Schizosaccharomyces pombe: one gene and its partners. The protein of the gene in region 2 interacts with the protein of the main gene of each other region in a biochemical or structural test. Each region holds a gene or a part of one and is shown on either strand. Other genes may lie near its edges.

Region 1 (5,605 bases), on a different chromosome or scaffold from region 2:
CCTTCATGGGGAATTTCTTGAGCACGCGCAAGAATACGAATCTGATCCAATGTGCGAACTTCCGGAGATAATCCACCATGCACGCATAAAATTTTGTTATCGATAACCGCTGCCAAAGTCAAAAAATCAAAAACTTGGCAACAATATTTCCAAACATTTGCATTTCCATATTTGGTTTGACACTCATCATAAAACCCGTAGACTTGAGTGATCTGGCGACTTTCGTGATTACCACGAAGCAATGTAATTTTATCTGGGTACCTTGCTTTCAAAAGCATAAATAACGTAAAAGTTTCTAAGCTAAAATAACCTCGATCCACAAAATCACCCATAAATATATAATTTGTGCTTGGCAATTCTCCACCTACTCGAAACAGTTCCAAAAGGTCGTAAAACTGACCATGTATATCACCACAAACAGTAACGGGAGTCCGCACAGGCTGGATATTGGACTCCTCCATTAAAATAACTTTTACCATCTCACACAATCGTTTCAACTGGTGTTCTGGAAGATATTTACACTTCCTTACTGTAGCGATCCATTCATCCAAGTCAAACATCGTTGTAGCACAAATTATTCAAGGATCTCTTCTAGATTATTAAACACAGTTATTTCTCAATACTTTCCTATTTAGAAATTGGCTTCCTAATTAAATATGTTGTTTGCGGAGAGTACGTAAGTTAGTACGTTGAATACTTAAGAGGGGTGTTTAACGTATTGTAACGATTAACGGCGTACCAAGTCTTTATCAGATATGGATGTTTGGTACATTCAAAAGTCGTATGAAAAAGTCTACATGTGGAAATGACCTTTTATATACAAATTTATATAGTCCGCTGATTAAATTGGGATGTCGTCGAACACATTTTATCCTTATTGCTAACGTCAAATTTTGTTGCAAATTTTCTTAAATTACCGAGGTGGGATTGCTTTAAATTATAAATACTTGTAGAGTTTTAAACGATTGAAAGTCTAGGTCATGAGGCGAAGATGAGAGAGTAGCATAACGAGAAACGTTGTCTGTAGAACGACAATAAAAGTGTCGTTTCCATAACCTTTAAATATAGTAAGCGAATTTAGGATCAGTTCGAAGATTGTTGCAAGCGTAGATCCAACTTGTGAAAAACTTGCTTACTAAAGAGCTTTCAAAGTCATGAAGAATATATGATATCTTGTTGATATAAATGGCATCTCCGTCGTCAAGTATGCGAAACCGTAGGCAAAAGAAAAATCGTACAGAGAAGGTTACCGAAGCAATTGCTATTAATTGTTTTTTATCGAGTCTTCCGAGTTAACAGAATAAAGTGAATCTCTCATGCACAAGTTTATCAACTCTTAGAACTACTTATAGCTTTGATTTTTTCCTCAAATACTTATGGCCATAATTTTCCTTCTGAATAAATAAATTTACTGGAATTCAACGTAACAAACAAAATAACGCTATACCCTTATTGTGGAAAATATCGTAAAATATGATAAGCAGCATTACGAATACGCTTGAATATCCTATGTCAAATTGTGCAAAAGGGTGATTGAGTCCCAGTACCACGACATCCCGTCGCGTCTCATAGACGTAAACAAAACTTCTTTTTTCTATGGAAGGTATGTGTGCTTTTCAGAAATCATGGAACAGTTATGGCTTGAACATGATTTAAGTGAAGAATGGATTCCGCAGCCACAAGAACAAGGGTCAGACAATTCTAGTGAACCACCAACCACATCAAATGTAAACAATACTCAATCTACAGGTCGTGGTAGTTCAGGAACTTCGACAGAGCATGGAACGTTTAAGAAAGGAAGAAATGATGCTCCGGATGTTCCTCAATGGAAACAGGTGAATGCAAAGAACCCTGTTGCTCGTGATATTTTTGCAAGGTTGGATTTGGAAAATATGTTTGAAGAAAGCAGCAAACAAAGCCCCCCTTCAAAGTCTCCAACAAAAAATCCGTCCAAAAAGTCCAGTAATAACTCTTCTAGGCGTAGTTCTTCTTCAGTTGGTAAACTATCTAATGTATCGAACATGCAATCTTCTCCTTCTAAAGATCCTTTCGTTTCACAGGATTACGAAAAAGAATCTATCTCCTCTTCTCAGTTTAGCAAAAAATACTCAGAAGGAAGCTTGAAAAGTCAACAATCTAATACCAGGTCTAACTCGGTTCACGAAAAGCAAAATACGGACCATGCTAGCAATGCATCGTCATCCTCATCCGTTGTTTCTTCTCCCTCCTTGAAGCCCAATAATACATCCCCCCTTAAACTTTTCCAAGGAGCTAGTGATCCGTTTACTCGTGAGCATTTGAATCAATTAACTCAAGATGTAAAGTCCAATTCATTTGAAAATGGGGAAAAACAATTTTCACTCCCTGAACCACGAAGACCACAAAAACCTATGCGTACAACTGAACGAAAGGCTAGCCTCAATACCAAAGATCTCTATCAAGAGGTTGAAGAAGTCATGGCAAGATTGCGAGGAAGAATGCCTAATTCGGGACGAGAATCTACAATTTTTCTTCCTCGAAAGCTCAGCGGACTTCGTGAGGAGGAGGAACAAGATGAAATTTCAGTTGAAGTAAGTCAAGAAGATAGCTCTAATGCATTTCCCTCCTTAAGTGATCAACTTCATTTAAAAAGTCTTCAAAGTATGAAAAGGGTTACCTCAATTTTCAATGATAATGATGATTCCTTTCCATCCGCATCTTCCTCCCCTCAACGCCAGGCATATATGACCGATAAAATGCCACTTCGGGAAATTGATGTTGGCTCTTCACAATCCTCTTCCAAGACTGCCCGATTAAATAGCTCTCCCAAATCAACGCTAAAAACTTCCAGTGTTAAAACCAGAAGAAGTCACTCTGCTCAAAGCTCAAGAAAAGTGTCTGATTATCCCAATATGGTGGTTATAACGCCAGCAGATCTTCCTGAAGGCATAGATACAACTCAAGGCTCCATGGAATTTGACAGGATACACAATCGGTGGCGGAGAAAAGGTCATGATTCAGACTTGGGCTTTGATTTTGAAACCGACGAAGATGCTAGTCTTTCGCATCCTGAGCGTACAATACTGTTTAAAGCGGCATCCACCAGACATCAAGCGAACAATGATCCAAACAATTTGGAGAAGCAACAACCTCATTCCTTTCCTTTGCGTAAGCAAAATGTTGCTCAATCCGAATTTCCTAAGCATTCATTAAGAGACAATAGCGAAAACGCTCCGCAAATTTTATCTTCCTTTCACGATTTATCCTTACAAAATGAGAGCTTTGATGAAATGTTTAATGGCAGGTATGAAAATGGGTCACCAATTCCTTTTATTTCTTCAGGTTCTGGATTGAAAAGTAAAGCCGACAAAGATGCTGAATATAGTTTTTCAGTATCTCGTCAATCCATAATTCAAATTCTTTCTGATGTTGAACCATATGAGCCTTTCTGGAAAAGGATTATACAATTAGACATCAGTAGACGACATTTGGATTCCTTGATTGGACTTTCTGAACTCTGTCCCTCTATTGAAGAGCTCACGTTGGAAGGAAATGAAATTGCTTACTTAACAGGATGCCCCGTTACGATAAGAGACCTGAATGCTGTTGAAAATCGATTGTCAAGTTTGACTTCATTTTCCAACCTATTAAACCTACAATATCTGGACATATCATATAATCAACTAGAGGACCTTACTGGTCTTTCTTCTCTAATTCACCTTCGTGAGTTGAAAGTTGACAGTAATCATCTATGGAGTTTAGATGGGATTCAACATTTGGATGGATTGCTAAAATTAAGCGCTTGCAATAACAGGATTAAAGAATTGTCATTTACGAATTCCAATCTTCATCGTCTTGAGGAATTGCTCTTGGGAAATAACGAAATAGAAGAAATCGAAGAAATAAGTTCGCTTCAAAACCTTATGGTTTTACAATTGGACAATAACAAACTAACCAACTTGAAAGCTAGCCAACCAATGATTCATTTGCGAATTTTACGCATCAGCAACAACGCCATACATCAACTTGAGGTAGATCAATTTCCTCATTTACGAACTTTATACATGGACCTTAATCGATTTAATCGTCCCCCTGACATCCGTCGACTAAAACGCTTAGTCAATTTTTCGTTCAGGACTCAAGATCCTGAAGCCTCCAATTTTGTCATTCAACCCTCTTTAGATATTCGAAATCTATACCTATCGAATAACACCTTCGTTACTCTTGATTGTAAGCACATGTTTCTGGGAGTGAGGTATCTGGAGCTTGCAAACGTTCAGCTCAAAGAAGTACCTAAATACATTGCGACCAGTATGCCCAATTTACGTGTATTGGACTTATCACATAACTATATATCAGACATAGAGTCGCTGAAACCATTGCAAATGATCCACCGACTTTACTTAGTGGGAAATAGAATCAAAAAGATGCGAAATTTATGTGATATATTGGCAAACCTGAAACAGTTAAACGTACTGGATCTGCGCATGAATCCTCTTAATTTCAACATTTATCCCGTAATTGACGACTCTATTTATGAGCTCTCTGCAGCCTCAAAATACCAACAAAGTATCAACCAAAAAGGTCATCATAGAAAAGAAGACCCGCAAAAGCAATGGCAGGAGAAAGAGCTGGCCTTTAGTTCCACTTTGTCTGAGGCATGGAGAACAAGAAGAAAAATGTATGCTGAAGCTATTTTATTGGCATGTCCACACTTAGAATGGTTGGATGGATCTGATGTTTCACAATCATCTCGCGCTGCATTCACCAAATCATCCAACTAGTATGACTTGTGAAGATATAGCTTGAAACATTTTTACCTTTCAAATAGCAAGATTGTTTCGCTGTTGTGTAAAGGTTAATAATCACAATACATAATACACCATAATACTCGCCATTACCATAGTGTAAATAATAATTCGATTTCTGGATGGCACATACAAAATGAATAAGCATAATGAAACGTGAAGGTCGTCTAAAAATATATATATATTAAAAAAAAAGAAAAAGAACCCTATTGAAAGAATAAAAAATAAAAGAAAACCCCTCCAACTCTTCTTACATTCAACTAGCTTAAAACAGATAAATTCTATTGAGAAACAGTGACATTAAACACACACATATGTACCATATAAGTATCAACTAAATAAAGGAAAAAGGTAAAGGGGGGACGGTTAAAAAATGCTTTGAAAGTGAAATTAGAAAACATGTAGAGATGATAAATGATAGATAAAACTCGATTGGTCGATAATTTACGAGCGGCCCCATGAAAATCTGCTGGGCTTCTTGTCGTTATTGGCTTGAACATCATTAATCGACCATGGATTTGGAGCTGGAGCTGAAGCGGGATCTTTAAAGGGATTTTCAGGATCTCTAAACGGATTTTCAGGAGCCTGTTCTGCAGGCTTATTGCGCATAAACGGAAAGCGGAAGCCCGAGTTAGATTTCGGAACGGGAACGGGCTCACGAACAGTTGGGGCATAGGAAGACAGAGAACGACTATCGTTGCTAAAAGTAGGCTTCAATTTTGAGACAGAGCCTCCACGCTTGAGACCATCATCCTCGGAAATGGTATCGTACATAGGCTTTTCGGCAGAATAATCGCTGAATTTGGGAAGGTCTCCCT
Region 2 (3,680 bases):
AGGAGTCCATATGTCCACAAAGAGATTTCTCCTTAAAATCAAAGGTTTCAGCGAAGCCAAAGTGGATAAACTGAAGGAAGCGGCATCAAAAATGTGCCCAGCAAACTTTTCCACTGCGATGGAAATCAGTCAAAATCGTAAAAAAGTATGGAGTATTTCGACAGGATCCGAGGCACTCAATGGCATCCTTGGAGGGGGAATTCAGTCGATGAGTATTACAGAAGTATTTGGAGAGTTTCGTTGTGGTAAAACACAAATGTCGCATACATTGTGTGTCACTGCCCAGCTTCCTCGAGATATGGGCGGGGCCGAAGGAAAAGTAGCATTCATAGATACAGAAGGAACATTTCGACCTGATCGAATCAAAGCCATTGCAGAACGATTTGGTGTAGACGCCGATCAGGCTATGGAGAATATCATTGTCAGTAGAGCATACAACTCTGAGCAACAAATGGAATACATCACAAAATTAGGAACCATTTTTGCTGAAGATGGCCAATACCGTTTGTTAATTGTCGATTCCATCATGGCACTATTTCGGGTTGACTATTCGGGTCGCGGGGAATTATCAGAAAGGCAACAAAAATTAAACATTATGCTTGCTAGATTAAATCATATTTCTGAAGAGTTTAACGTAGCGGTCTTTGTCACAAATCAGGTTCAAGCAGACCCCGGAGCAGCAATGATGTTTGCGTCCAACGATCGAAAACCTGTAGGAGGCCATGTCATGGCTCACGCAAGCGCGACCCGTCTGCTGTTAAGAAAAGGTCGAGGTGAGGAACGTGTCGCAAAATTGAATGATTCTCCAGATATGCCTGAAGCCGAGTGCAGTTATGTGATTACACCTGGTGGCATAGCAGACGTTTCCTAATTGATTTTCTACCTATTCCAAAAAAAAAACAAAAAAAGAAGAGAAATAAGAAAAAAGATCAGCCAAGTTCAGCAATGCCTTTTATCATTGCGTTTGTGCTTATGTTTTAACAAAATTGAGTGCACTGATTACGTTAATGTTAACATTTTACTGCTGCAATACTATATCTTTAATACAATAATCAGTTCACTATTGGTCTCTAAAATGGCTTTAAAGAAAAAGTTTGGATGAGAAGCTCGCGCCATTTTAGATAACCAAACCAAGATTTTCTTAACTACACATTTATCAAATAGTTGCGAATGGCGCAAACCCCCAAAAGCAACTTATTCTTACGAGTCAACAAATTTGTTTAAGTAGTGTCATGTGAAGTTGCTATCGCATGTATCAATTAACAAAAGCTGAGCGCCTTTCATTGCAATCGTTGGACAATCTGACTTCCACCAAACAATTATATCGTGTGAGACAGAATTCGTCATCACCTTTGTTCCAGTTTATTTCCCGATTCTATGAAGGCCTGCAGATTTGCACGTGTTCAGGCACCTTCCTTTCGATGTTTACCTTTTGCGTCAATATGACAAAAGGGGTACAGTTTCTCTTGATCCGTTGCCAAGGATGTGTTTACCCCGGGGCTTTGTCGCAACAAACGAGAACAGTCCAGCAGCCAGGTTTTTCGATAACCTTCTGTCGTGCCGATAAATTACGATGCGCAGTCGCTAAATTCGACATACAGAAGCACAGGGCACGTTTACGCAGTGCTACGAAATTTTACTGTGGGAGCAGTCCTTTTTCTACCATACGACGTTCCGCAACCTTTCCAGTGCCAACCACCACGATATACTCACATTTTCGAACGTTTGGTAAAAATGTCTACTACTTCTCGTGAAGATGCTGTTTATTTAGCCAAACTTGCTGAGCAAGCCGAGCGCTATGAAGGTATGTGCTTTTATAAGGTTTAGAGACGCGTAGAGCAGAGATATATTTGGTGTTATTTCTGCAAGAACAAAATTACACACATCCAAGGTTCTATCGGCGGAAGCTTTTGAGTAAGCGGGCTTCCTGTAAAACATCGATTGCATTTATTTTTGACATAGTTGTGATCAGAGGCTTAGTTGGTAGAATGTTTGTGTTTGTGTGTTGTATGGTGGTTGTCAAATGAACTGTGCATTGGCTATGGTGATGTTGAAAAGGTGTTTTAGTATTTCAACTTGTTTCCTAACTTTATTTCTAATTGTTTTTACTCCGAGAAGAAATTTTTTTGTTCATACAGACATACGGAAAATACATCATGCTGCGCATCTCGAAAGTCGAAATCCTTATGTACTTATCACTAATATATCCAGGCATGGTTGAAAACATGAAAAGCGTTGCCTCCACTGATCAAGAATTGACCGTCGAAGAGCGTAACTTGCTCTCTGTTGCTTATAAGAATGTAATTGGAGCTCGCCGGGCGTCTTGGCGTATCGTTTCCTCCATCGAGCAAAAGGAGGAGAGCAAAGGCAATACTGCTCAAGTTGAATTAATTAAGGAATATCGTCAAAAGATTGAACAAGAACTTGACACTATTTGCCAAGATATCTTGACCGTTCTTGAGAAGCACCTTATCCCTAATGCTGCCTCTGCCGAATCCAAGGTTTTCTACTACAAGATGAAGGGTGACTACTATCGTTACCTTGCTGAGTTTGCCGTTGGTGAGAAGCGCCAACACTCCGCTGATCAATCTCTTGAAGGTTACAAGGCCGCTTCTGAAATTGCTACCGCCGAACTTGCACCTACTCATCCTATCCGCTTAGGTCTTGCTCTTAATTTCTCCGTTTTCTACTATGAGATCTTGAACTCCCCCGACCGTGCTTGCTACTTAGCCAAGCAAGCCTTTGATGAAGCTATCTCCGAGTTGGACAGCCTTTCCGAGGAATCCTACAAAGATTCTACTTTAATCATGCAATTGTTGCGTGACAACCTTACCTTATGGACTTCTGATGCTGAATACAGTGCCGCCGCTGCTGGTGGTAACACCGAGGGAGCTCAAGAAAACGCTCCTTCCAATGCTCCAGAAGGCGAAGCTGAGCCCAAGGCGGACGCATAGATAGCTCGTTGCTCATGATTGATGCCATACTTTCACTACTATGAACCAATTTTAAAAAATTTATTTGTCTAAGAGTTCTTTTTCGTTTAGATCTTGTGTACTACACGATGGAATAGTCTCATTACATTCTCGTATATTTTCTTCTAATTTTTTTTTCTTTTTGTCTTTCTTTAAATTTCTTTTTTTTTTACAGTCGTAGTATATGTGTGTATTTGGTAGCTGCTGTAAAAAATACAGTAGTTGGACGACATTTTAATTTCGAGTACACAACCCGTAATGATTTGCTTGGCTAAGTGGGTGTTGAGTTAATCAAGCAATAGTCTAGATAGATGTGAGTTTCAAACTGAAGAGTTGGTAGATTGAGAATGTTTAAGCCTATCGGATTGAATTTGAGCTTTTTGACTGATTTGCACCGAATTGCTTAATATTCCTTGCATACGACCGATGTACCACTTTTTACACAAAGCTTAAAAATTTGTATGTTCTAGTGATACTCAAACATTATTAAATATAAAAGCTTTAAGTTTGCATATAAAACGCACAGTAAACATTTGAATCGATGCCTGTGAGACCATGCATACATTTCACGCCTCCAGAAGGATTTATGAATGATCCCAATGGTCTGGTTTACAGTAATGGAAAATGGCATTTGTTTTTTCAATGGAATCCAACAGGAAACCAAGCCGGTAATCAACATTGGGGCCATGCAGTGAGTAAAAACCTGTA
Region 3 (5,580 bases), 2.9 Mb from region 2:
AATGCCATTTTGAGTGATACTACTGGTACATTGGTTGCTTCCAACTATGCCAGCCCAGGTACTGAGATTGGTGTCATCTTTGGAACTGGATGTAATGCTTGTTACATTGAAAAGTTCTCAGAAATTCCTAAGCTTCATAAGTATGACTTCCCTGAAGATATGAACATGATCATCAACTGTGAATGGTGCGATTTTGACAACCAGCATGTTGTCCTTCCTCGTACCAAATACGATGTTGCTATTGATGAAGAGTCTCCCAGACCCGGTCTTCAAACGTACGAGAAAATGATTGCTGGATGCTATTTGGGTGATATCTTGCGTCGTATTCTTCTTGACCTTTATGAACAGGGAGCTCTCTTTAACGGTCAGGACGTTACCAAGATTCGTGACCCCTTGGCCATGGATACCTCTGTGCTCAGCGCTATTGAAGTTGACCCCTTTGAGAACCTTGATGAAACTCAAACCCTATTTGAGGAAACCTATGGTCTCAAGACCACCGAAGAAGAGCGTCAATTCATTCGTCGTGCATGCGAATTGATTGGAACTCGTTCTGCCCGTCTTTCTGCGTGTGGTGTATGCGCCCTTGTTCGTAAAATGAATAAGCCATCTATGATTGTAGGTACTGATGGTAGTGTCTACAACTTATACCCTCGTTTTAAGGATCGTCTTGCTCAAGCATTTAAGGATATCCTTGGTGAGGAAATTGGCAGCAAAGTTGTTACCATCCCCGCCGAAGACGGTAGTGGCGTAGGTGCTGCATTGGTCAGTGCTCTTGAAGCCAAAGGCAAGGCCCTCACTTCTGATATTCTTGCCGAGCATCTTAAGAATTAAGTCCACTCATTGTTTTTAGGTTTTACGGATACTCATTTGATTTTGTGTCACTGAACTCCACGAAGTGTTCGACAAACTGTTTTATACTGCACTTTTTATTTGTTTCATACTCCATCTTTTTGCGTACAATTTGTTCCAGCAATTTTTATGGTTACACTTTTCTTTGTCTACTAATCACGTATCAGGGCGTTTTTACAAAAAGGTGCTCCACCTGATAAAATATTTTCTTTTTTGCTCTAGTGTTTCTGTGGATACGATATCTGCCTCTGATTGCTAGAATACTTTAAATAAAGGTTAGAGTTTTGTTATATTTTGTATGTTGAAGTGTAATAATAGCGGTATCTTTGTTGAAGATATCCGAGTTTAACAAGACAACTGGCTATACTATCTTGCGAAATATGCCTACTACGACAATAATGGTATCAACCCATAGCTACATAACATCGGGAGACTTTCAATGAGTTACACCCTCGTTTTCCAATTCGGAATGACAGTCCGAGTCCCGAAGTAGAGAGATTCATCGTGTTACGATTATTCGCTAACACCTGATAACATATTTTATCTCGCTGCTCGTGTTACATATCAGGAGTGCGGGTATGAGATTATGGGGATTTAATGGCTGTCAAGCAGGTTACCTGACGTTTGTTCTTATGTATTTGTTTACACATACACAACATTTGGCGTTGCTAGGGCAACAAATCAGACAAACTGCGGTGGATCGAATAGCTGAGATGTATGGACATGTAAACAAACATACAAGATGCAAAAATTTATGTGTTTTCATCTAGTTCAATGTTGTTAATGAAATGATTATTTGCTTTTATATAATTAATAGATTAAGAGGTGACATATTGTAGCTTGAAACGGCATTATCTACGCAACTAAACTATACAACAATAGTTGTCATGGCTGAGGTGTTGGCTAAGTATTACAGCTTACAGTTTAACTTTGCTTTAATCATGTATTTGTTTTTATTATTGTTTTCTGTTACTCGAATTTGTTGGTTGGTGTTTTATTGTTGTTGTTACCTTTGCTTTTTTTTCCTCTCGGAGGCAGAGCTGAGATTTCTCTCTACCCTCAACTATCTACAGCGCTTCAAGCTCTTCTCCTTTAGATCAAGTGTATTACATTGAAAATATTATTCTTAAGAATACCAAAGTTGTAAGTTTAAAAAGAACTTGATGCCTGTTAGTTTCGGGCATCCTTCTCTCCTCAAGTTGGATTCCTGTTGATGCTTCTCAAGTACTAACTGCTGGTTCAGTGATTTTTTGAAACGTCTATAATACAATTGCTTACGCTTTTTAAGGCAATTAATAGGATTCTTGAAGTTATTTGTTCAAGAAGCCTTTATATGGTAAAGTGGGGGGTTTATTACTTGTAACGAACTTTGAGTCTGAACTTTTGGGTATTCTGTTGTTTTCATATTAATCAACTGCTTTCTTTTAACTTTCTTTTTTCTTTCATTTTTTCTTTCAACGACAGTATCTTTTATATTCTATATTATAGTCGTGACCGTTGGTGCTCATCTATTTTTGTCTCATTAATCTCTTTTTTTTTATATACTTTTATTCGGTCTTCCCGTCGTGTGGAGTCTAAACTTACTTAAACTTCTTTCCGGTTTCTTTTGTAAAGGTTGGTTTTGTTTAATATTTGGCTATATTGCTTTCATCCTGTCTTTCTTTTAGTTTTCTTTTTGTCTCACTTTGGCATTAATATCTTAAACCGGTCTTTTGACTCTTCCCTAGGATTTTCCTTTATAATTTATCTTACTTGCTCTATTGATTTCTCATTCTGAAACTCAATCTTTTGCAGTCGTGTCGTCCCATTAGTTCTTTTTGCAGTGTACTTGGTTTAAATTAAATTTACCATTTTGTCTGCTTTTAATAATAGTTAAACCTCAACTAAAATGGATTCTCCGCTTTCTTCACTTTCCTTTACCAACACTCTATCTGGCAAACGGAATGTATTGCGTCCTGCTGCCCGTGAATTAAAGTTGATGTCGGATCGCAATGCAAATCAAGAGCTGGATTTTTTCTTCCCGAAATCCAAACACATTGCCTCAACATTAGTGGATCCTTTTGGAAAAACTTGTTCGACAGCTTCACCTGCATCTTCCTTAGCTGCTGATATGTCAATGAACATGCATATCGATGAAAGCCCTGCCTTACCGACTCCTCGTCGTACGCTCTTTCGATCTCTTTCTTGTACTGTAGAAACCCCTCTCGCTAACAAGACTATTGTTTCACCTCTCCCGGAGTCACCCTCGAATGACGCTTTAACCGAGTCCTACTTCTTCCGGCAACCTGCATCGAAGTATTCCATTACCCAAGATTCCCCACGTGTTTCCAGCACTATTGCTTACAGCTTTAAGCCTAAAGCATCAATCGCATTAAACACCACCAAAAGCGAAGCTACTCGTTCGTCATTATCGAGTTCTTCTTTTGATTCCTACCTTCGTCCTAACGTCTCACGTTCTCGATCATCAGGCAACGCACCCCCATTTTTGCGATCCAGATCGAGTTCCTCATATTCCATTAACAAAAAGAAGGGAACTTCTGGTGGACAAGCTACCCGCCATTTGACTTATGCCTTATCCCGTACCTGTAGTCAGTCGAGCAACACGACCAGCTTACTTGAAAGTTGTCTTACTGATGATACGGATGATTTCGAATTAATGTCTGATCATGAGGATACATTTACGATGGGCAAGGTTGCTGATTTACCAGAAAGCTCTGTTGAACTTGTTGAAGACGCTGCCTCTATTCAACGTCCCAACAGTGATTTTGGTGCTTGCAATGATAATTCTTTAGATGATCTTTTTCAAGCTTCACCCATTAAACCTATTGATATGTTACCCAAGATAAATAAAGATATTGCCTTTCCTAGCTTGAAAGTTAGGTCCCCTTCTCCGATGGCATTCGCTATGCAAGAAGATGCGGAATATGATGAGCAAGATACACCAGTGCTTCGTCGTACCCAAAGCATGTTTCTCAATTCCACAAGACTAGGGCTTTTCAAAAGCCAAGATCTTGTGTGCGTTACGCCAAAACAATCGACCAAAGAAAGTGAGCGCTTCATCTCTTCTCATGTCGAGGATTTATCTCTTCCTTGCTTCGCCGTGAAGGAGGACTCATTGAAACGAATTACCCAAGAAACATTGCTCGGTCTATTAGATGGTAAATTTAAGGATATTTTTGACAAATGCATCATTATTGATTGCCGTTTTGAATATGAATACCTTGGGGGCCATATTAGCACTGCTGTGAATTTAAATACGAAACAAGCTATTGTGGATGCCTTTTTAAGTAAACCTCTTACTCATCGGGTTGCACTTGTTTTTCATTGTGAACATAGTGCGCACAGAGCACCTCATTTGGCATTGCACTTTCGAAATACCGACAGACGAATGAATAGTCATCGTTATCCTTTCCTTTACTATCCCGAGGTTTATATACTTCATGGTGGTTACAAGTCGTTTTACGAAAACCACAAAAACCGTTGTGACCCAATTAACTACGTTCCGATGAACGATGCTTCGCATGTTATGACCTGCACCAAGGCTATGAATAATTTCAAACGAAACGCTACTTTTATGCGTACTAAAAGTTATACTTTTGGCCAAAGTGTGTTAGCTTCCCCAGACGTTAATGATTCTCCTACTGCCATGCATTCCCTCTCTACACTTAGAAGATTTTAATGATTTTAGGCTGACTCAATACTTTACCTAGCCTGAAGTATACTCTTATATATTCAACTTTCTAAACCTAAGTTTTTTCTATAAACTTTGAATCATGAAACCTTTTATTTCTATTTTTTATTATTATTATTGAAAGAAAGCAATATACCTTTTAAAAGGTCTCGACAACAAAAAATTTAAACTGGCTAAACTTTTCGAAGTACATCACTTTTACGACTAAATATCTAGAACGACTAGTTTGGTTATTATTATTACGCATGGATTTTGGTTTAATAATTGATTATTTTATAATCAATTGAGCTTAATAATTTCTAAGCAATCACGGGTAAACATACGTACCGAAGTCCATTCTAATTGCTCTTCTCGCAATTGCTGTTGATAGGAATGCTAAGAATTTAGCATTCTTTGATTGAAGCAGTAATGCGATAGGAACTGAGTTGCTTACGTTTTTGTAACTCTACCTAACCATCTCTGATGGAAATATTTAAGTAGAAAACGAATAAAACTTTTATTTTTAAATCACTTCCTTTTATGCATGTTCTGTAAGCGGTAGTATTGTAGCTTACCCTTTCCAATGGAAGGTTAAGTTCACCAGAGAGTTACGAAGTTTTATGTGATATAAAATAGTTACAATGCGGAAGTTGGACATTCACACTTAAGTACCTTCCCAAAAAAAAAATTACGAAAATTTTTAATCAATACTACTTTTTTGGTAAAAATTTAAACATGTTCCGTTGAGAAAGTGAATCATATGTGTGCTTTTTTAAAATTTGAAGATATTTGTAGATTTTGTTTTGTTTACTTTTTATTTGCAACAATCAGAATGTCGTCATCTAAGTCAACCTTAAATTCGCTTATATGAATTTTATTGATTATGACATCAACGCCCTATGAAGTGCAGCTTTGAACGCCAACGATTGTATTTAATACATTGTAGGATAAACCTCGTAATCATAAATAACGAATTGTTTAAGTATGAAAGTTTGCAGAGCACTTAATGTTCAAACAAACAAATCTTTTTAGGTACACTAATTTAAAGATTTTGGTATCTT
Region 4 (4,058 bases), 1.4 Mb from region 2:
TGAGCGCTTAGTTCATTTAGTTGATTTGGCCTTTTTAAGTGCTGTTTCGGTTGTCTAAATAAATACAAATGATTATATAATCTTAGGACTAGTCAGGGAGTTTAAAATAGTATCTTTAAGTAGGGAAGACAGCAACATCTATTTACAGTAAATTTTTCCAATACTCCGTTCGTGGAATAGTAGGCATTATGTCAATTTAAGGAATATTACCAAAGCTGGTATCTTAAAATTACGTATTATACAGATGGCTTAACAGACTATTATCCGCTACATAGCGTTACTGAAAAAAGTTTTATTGGGATCATCTTTTGGGCTTCCAAACTTATCCTTCTCCATTTCTTTATCATGGCAAAAGATAAAAAAGACCATAAGCATAGTGGAAGCACCGAAGATGAGTATGATTCATATCTTCCTGCTTTAATGCCAATTGCTAAGCCTTTAGCTCCTAAAAAATTGAACAAAAAAATGATGAAGACTGTCAAGAAGGCTTCGAAGCAGAAACACATCCTTCGTGGGGTCAAAGAGGTTGTAAAGGCTGTTAGAAAAGGAGAGAAGGGTCTTGTAATTCTTGCTGGTGATATTTCTCCCATGGATGTTATATCTCATATTCCAGTATTATGTGAAGACAATAATGTCCCTTACTTATATACTGTTTCCAAAGAGTTGCTTGGTGAAGCATCAAACACCAAGAGACCTACTAGCTGTGTTATGATTGTTCCCGGTGGAAAAAAGAAGGACATGTCTAAAGTTGAGGAGTACAAGGAAAGCTACGAGGAAATTATAAAAGAAGTACCTGCTCTTGAAGTTTAATTGTTCAATATCTAAAAGATGCTTAGCCATTTAATGTAGATTATTATATACTATTAAAATTTGGTATTTATCCTGGGATTTAACTTTTGGTATATCATGTCTGTTTGCTTGATAGTAAGCGAAAAGAAGTTTTGCTTAATGGTCGGTTTTAAGGTTTCAAAAAATTTCCTTTTTAATCTAGTGTTTTATCATTCTTTCTTATGCCCTAGTATTTTATGGGTTTAGACTGGTTTGCGAGCAAACTAATCACTATACCTCCAAAACTTTGTTAGCAATAATATCGTATCATTTACCAACTTATATGAGAATGGTATATCGCTGTAACAGCGATGAAATATCAACTGATTTTTCCTCAAATTTCGTTTACGCTGATCGTTTCATTACGGATTTAGCCTGTGTTTATTTCTAACTAGTTGCGCAAAAAAGTTTTATTATTCGTTTAGGTTGCTATTTAGTATTCAGAGGCGGCGTGTTAGAACCAGTTTACAACTAACTTAAATTTCACCCAACGTCGTTCTTACCATTATAATGTTTACAAATATTATGCTTTCCAGTGCTATCCATAAATGATAGATTAGGGTAGCTTTAAAGGTCCGGCAATTATATGGTTATCTATCCGGATTTTGTTATCGGATTTAAATATATTTGCTAAAACAAATCGAATTTCAGATAAAAAAGTTGGGTTGTATTTGTATGAGCAAAAAGTATTCTGTATGTTTATCATAAATTGATGTGCATTTTTACTTACTTTGTAAGATAATGATTATTGTTGTTTATTTACTATAGTGTTGCTAAAAGTTAATGTCTTTTTTTTTTTAATAAAGAGAAAAGATTAAATGTCAACATAACGTTGTGTATAGTTTAGAATCCACTTTTGTCTTCATTTGTTTCGCACCCCACATATTTTCTTGTGCATTATCATCCCTTCTATTTACAAGGACCACCAACACCCAGGTACACAATTTAGAACTCAACCATTACGGGTTTGACGAATATAGACGAGATTCGCAATTACTTGTCTGATGGATTACCAAGATGATGGGCTTGGTGAAATGATTGAGTTTTTGGAGGGTATGCATGAAGTTTAACTCAAATATCTCGTAAAATTGATTAACATGTTAAATAGACAAGTTATACTACACATCATTGTCGCAACCACCTAAAGCCGAGTTATATCCTCATATGCATTTTTTTACTATCGATGATGAATTGATCTACAACCCTTTTTATCATGACTTTGGTCCGCTGAACGTGAGTCATCTTATTAGATTTGCAGTGATAGTTCATGGTATCATGGGAAAACACAGACAAGCTAAGAAAAGCAAGGCTATAGTTTTATATTCTTCTACAGATACAAGGTTGCGTGCAAATGCCGCTTGTTTGTTAGCTTGCTACATGGTGTTAGTACAAAACTGGCCTCCACATCTCGCATTAGCCCCTTTAGCTCAGGCAGAACCTCCTTTTTTGGGGTTTAGAGATGCGGGATATGCTGTTTCAGATTACTATATCACGATTCAAGATTGTGTTTACGGACTGTGGAGAGCACGAGAGAGCAGCATACTAAATATACGTAATATCGATGTTCATGACTATGAAACTTATGAAAGAGTGGAGAATGGAGATTTTAATTGGATATCTCCTAAGTTTATAGCATTTGCAAGTCCTATTCAGGCTGGTTGGAATCATGCGAGCACACGTCCAAAGAAACTTCCTCAACCGTTTGCGATAGTTCTCGATTATTTCGTCGCTAATAAGGTCAAACTGATAGTTAGGCTTAATGGACCTCTTTACGATAAAAAGACTTTTGAAAATGTTGGAATTCGACATAAAGAGATGTATTTTGAGGATGGCACAGTTCCAGAGCTTTCTCTTGTCAAAGAGTTTATTGACCTTACCGAGGAAGTAGAAGAAGACGGTGTGATTGCTGTTCATTGCAAAGCAGGGCTCGGACGTACTGGATGCTTAATTGGCGCATATTTAATATACAAACATTGTTTTACTGCTAATGAAGTTATTGCTTACATGAGAATAATGCGTCCTGGAATGGTTGTAGGTCCACAACAGCATTGGTTACATATTAATCAAGTTCATTTCCGTGCATATTTTTACGAAAAGGCGATGGGAAGAGCAATCCAACAGGCCACCGCTGCGGAACCCTTAGCTACTCCTCCTCGCCATCCATTGAATGCTACGAATGGTACCTCTCAAAGCAATATCAGTACTCCTCTTCCAGAACCAACGCCTGGCCAACCGAGAAAAGTTTCTGGACATAATCCACCGTCGGCGAGACGTCTCCCTTCAGCGTCCTCTGTCAAATTTAATGAGAAACTTAAAAATGCTTCCAAGCAATCAATCCAAAATGAGAACAAAGCGTCATACAGTAGTTACGAAGATTCAGAAATACAAAATGATGATGAAACACGGACTGTTGGAACTCCAACTGAAACAATTTCAGTGGTTCGCTTGCGTCGCTCATCAAGTCAAAGCAATATCGAACCAAATGGAGTTCGTTCTCCGACATCCTCACCAACTGGTAGTCCAATTCGACGTACAAGTGGAAATAGGTGGTCTAGTGGGTCTAGTCATTCTAAAAAAAGTGCTCAGCGAAGTGTTAGCATGTCATCACTTAACAATACTTCTAATGGCCGTGTTGCTAAACCTAAGCCTTCTAAAAGCCGGCTAATTTCTTAATAAACCTGTAATTACTGGTTTAAATGGCAGTTTTTACATTCCTTTTTTTCATATAAACTAACTTTGAATTATACTGTGTCAACCCTGCATAATTTTTCATTAATTAACTTTACAAATATTCCCTGATTTAGCGCACCTTTGCGCGGTGGGGATCACCACCATTAATGTCTTAGCTATCCTTTTTGTTAACTAACATTCATATTTCTTTGGAAAAAACTTTGGCTTTTTGCAAGCCATGGTTAATGATTTTAATCGAGAAATTGTTTTGGTTATGATATAAAAAGTCTTTGTTTTTTATTACGAATTTCAAGATTTCGCCATTCTATTTTTGGCTGAAGAGGTTCTTTCGCGGGTGCATGGTATCTTTGTTCGTAGCGGTACATTTTATTATATTTTGCTTGAGAATTTTTATCTAAATTCCCAACGGAAATCTGCCTACTTGTTGTACCTAATTTGCTTCAATGTTTTCACCTTTGGGTCAGTTTAAGCACATAGTTTGTCCATTTCTACGAACTGGACGCAAATGTCAGTCTAGGAATTGTTTCTTTAGTCATGAC

Evidence for each region.
Region 1: the proteins of rad24 (region 2) and cdc11 form a complex in vitro, tested with the Schizosaccharomyces pombe proteins (one study listed by BioGRID).
Region 3: the proteins of rad24 (region 2) and cdc25 form a complex in vitro, tested with the Schizosaccharomyces pombe proteins (2 studies listed by BioGRID).
Region 4: the proteins of rad24 (region 2) and clp1 form a complex in vitro, tested with the Schizosaccharomyces pombe proteins (one study listed by BioGRID).

What each region holds. Positions count from the first base shown.
Region 1 is NC_003421.2:2,048,573-2,054,177, reverse strand, and holds cdc11 (SIN component scaffold protein cdc11), read left to right. Parts: upstream 1-1,574; 5' UTR 1,575-1,625; coding exon 1,626-4,763; 3' UTR 4,764-5,048; downstream 5,049-5,605. Other genes in the region: serine/threonine protein phosphatase PP6 catalytic subunit Ppe1, read right to left, coding at 1-560; protein mug33, read right to left, coding at 5,232-5,605. UniProt on the Schizosaccharomyces pombe protein: Essential for the onset of septum formation. Involved in the organization of astral microtubules during mitosis. Acts as a bridge between sid4 and the other SIN proteins mediating their association with the spindle pole body (SPB).
Region 2 is NC_003424.3:3,382,534-3,386,213, forward strand, and holds rad24 (14-3-3 protein Rad24), read left to right. Parts: upstream 1-1,693; 5' UTR 1,694-1,734; coding exon 1,735-1,804; exon of another isoform or gene 1,805-2,003; intron 2,004-2,211; coding exon 2,212-2,954; 3' UTR 2,955-3,152; downstream 3,153-3,680. Other genes in the region: RecA family ATPase Dmc1, read left to right, coding at 1-871; inv2 (beta-fructofuranosidase), read left to right, coding at 3,514-3,680. UniProt on the Schizosaccharomyces pombe protein: Acts in cell cycle and stress checkpoint signaling by sequestering signal transducers regulated by the checkpoints. Required for the DNA damage checkpoint that ensures that DNA damage is repaired before mitosis is attempted.
Region 3 is NC_003424.3:478,698-484,277, reverse strand, and holds cdc25 (protein tyrosine phosphatase (M phase inducer) Cdc25), read left to right. Parts: upstream 1-1,904; 5' UTR 1,905-1,992; exon of another isoform or gene 1,993-2,092; 5' UTR 2,093-2,737; coding exon 2,738-4,528; 3' UTR 4,529-5,050; downstream 5,051-5,580. Other genes in the region: hxk1 (hexokinase 1), read left to right, coding at 1-831.
Region 4 is NC_003424.3:4,769,434-4,773,491, reverse strand, and holds clp1 (Cdc14 family protein phosphatase Clp1), read left to right. Parts: upstream 1-1,775; 5' UTR 1,776-1,832; coding exon 1,833-1,881; exon of another isoform or gene 1,882-1,936; coding exon 1,937-3,501; downstream 3,502-4,058. Other genes in the region: box H/ACA snoRNP complex subunit Nhp2, read left to right, coding at 346-810; exonuclease Rex3, read left to right, coding at 3,963-4,058. UniProt on the Schizosaccharomyces pombe protein: Protein phosphatase which antagonizes mitotic cyclin-dependent kinase cdc2, the inactivation of which is essential for exit from mitosis. To access its substrates, is released from nucleolar sequestration during mitosis.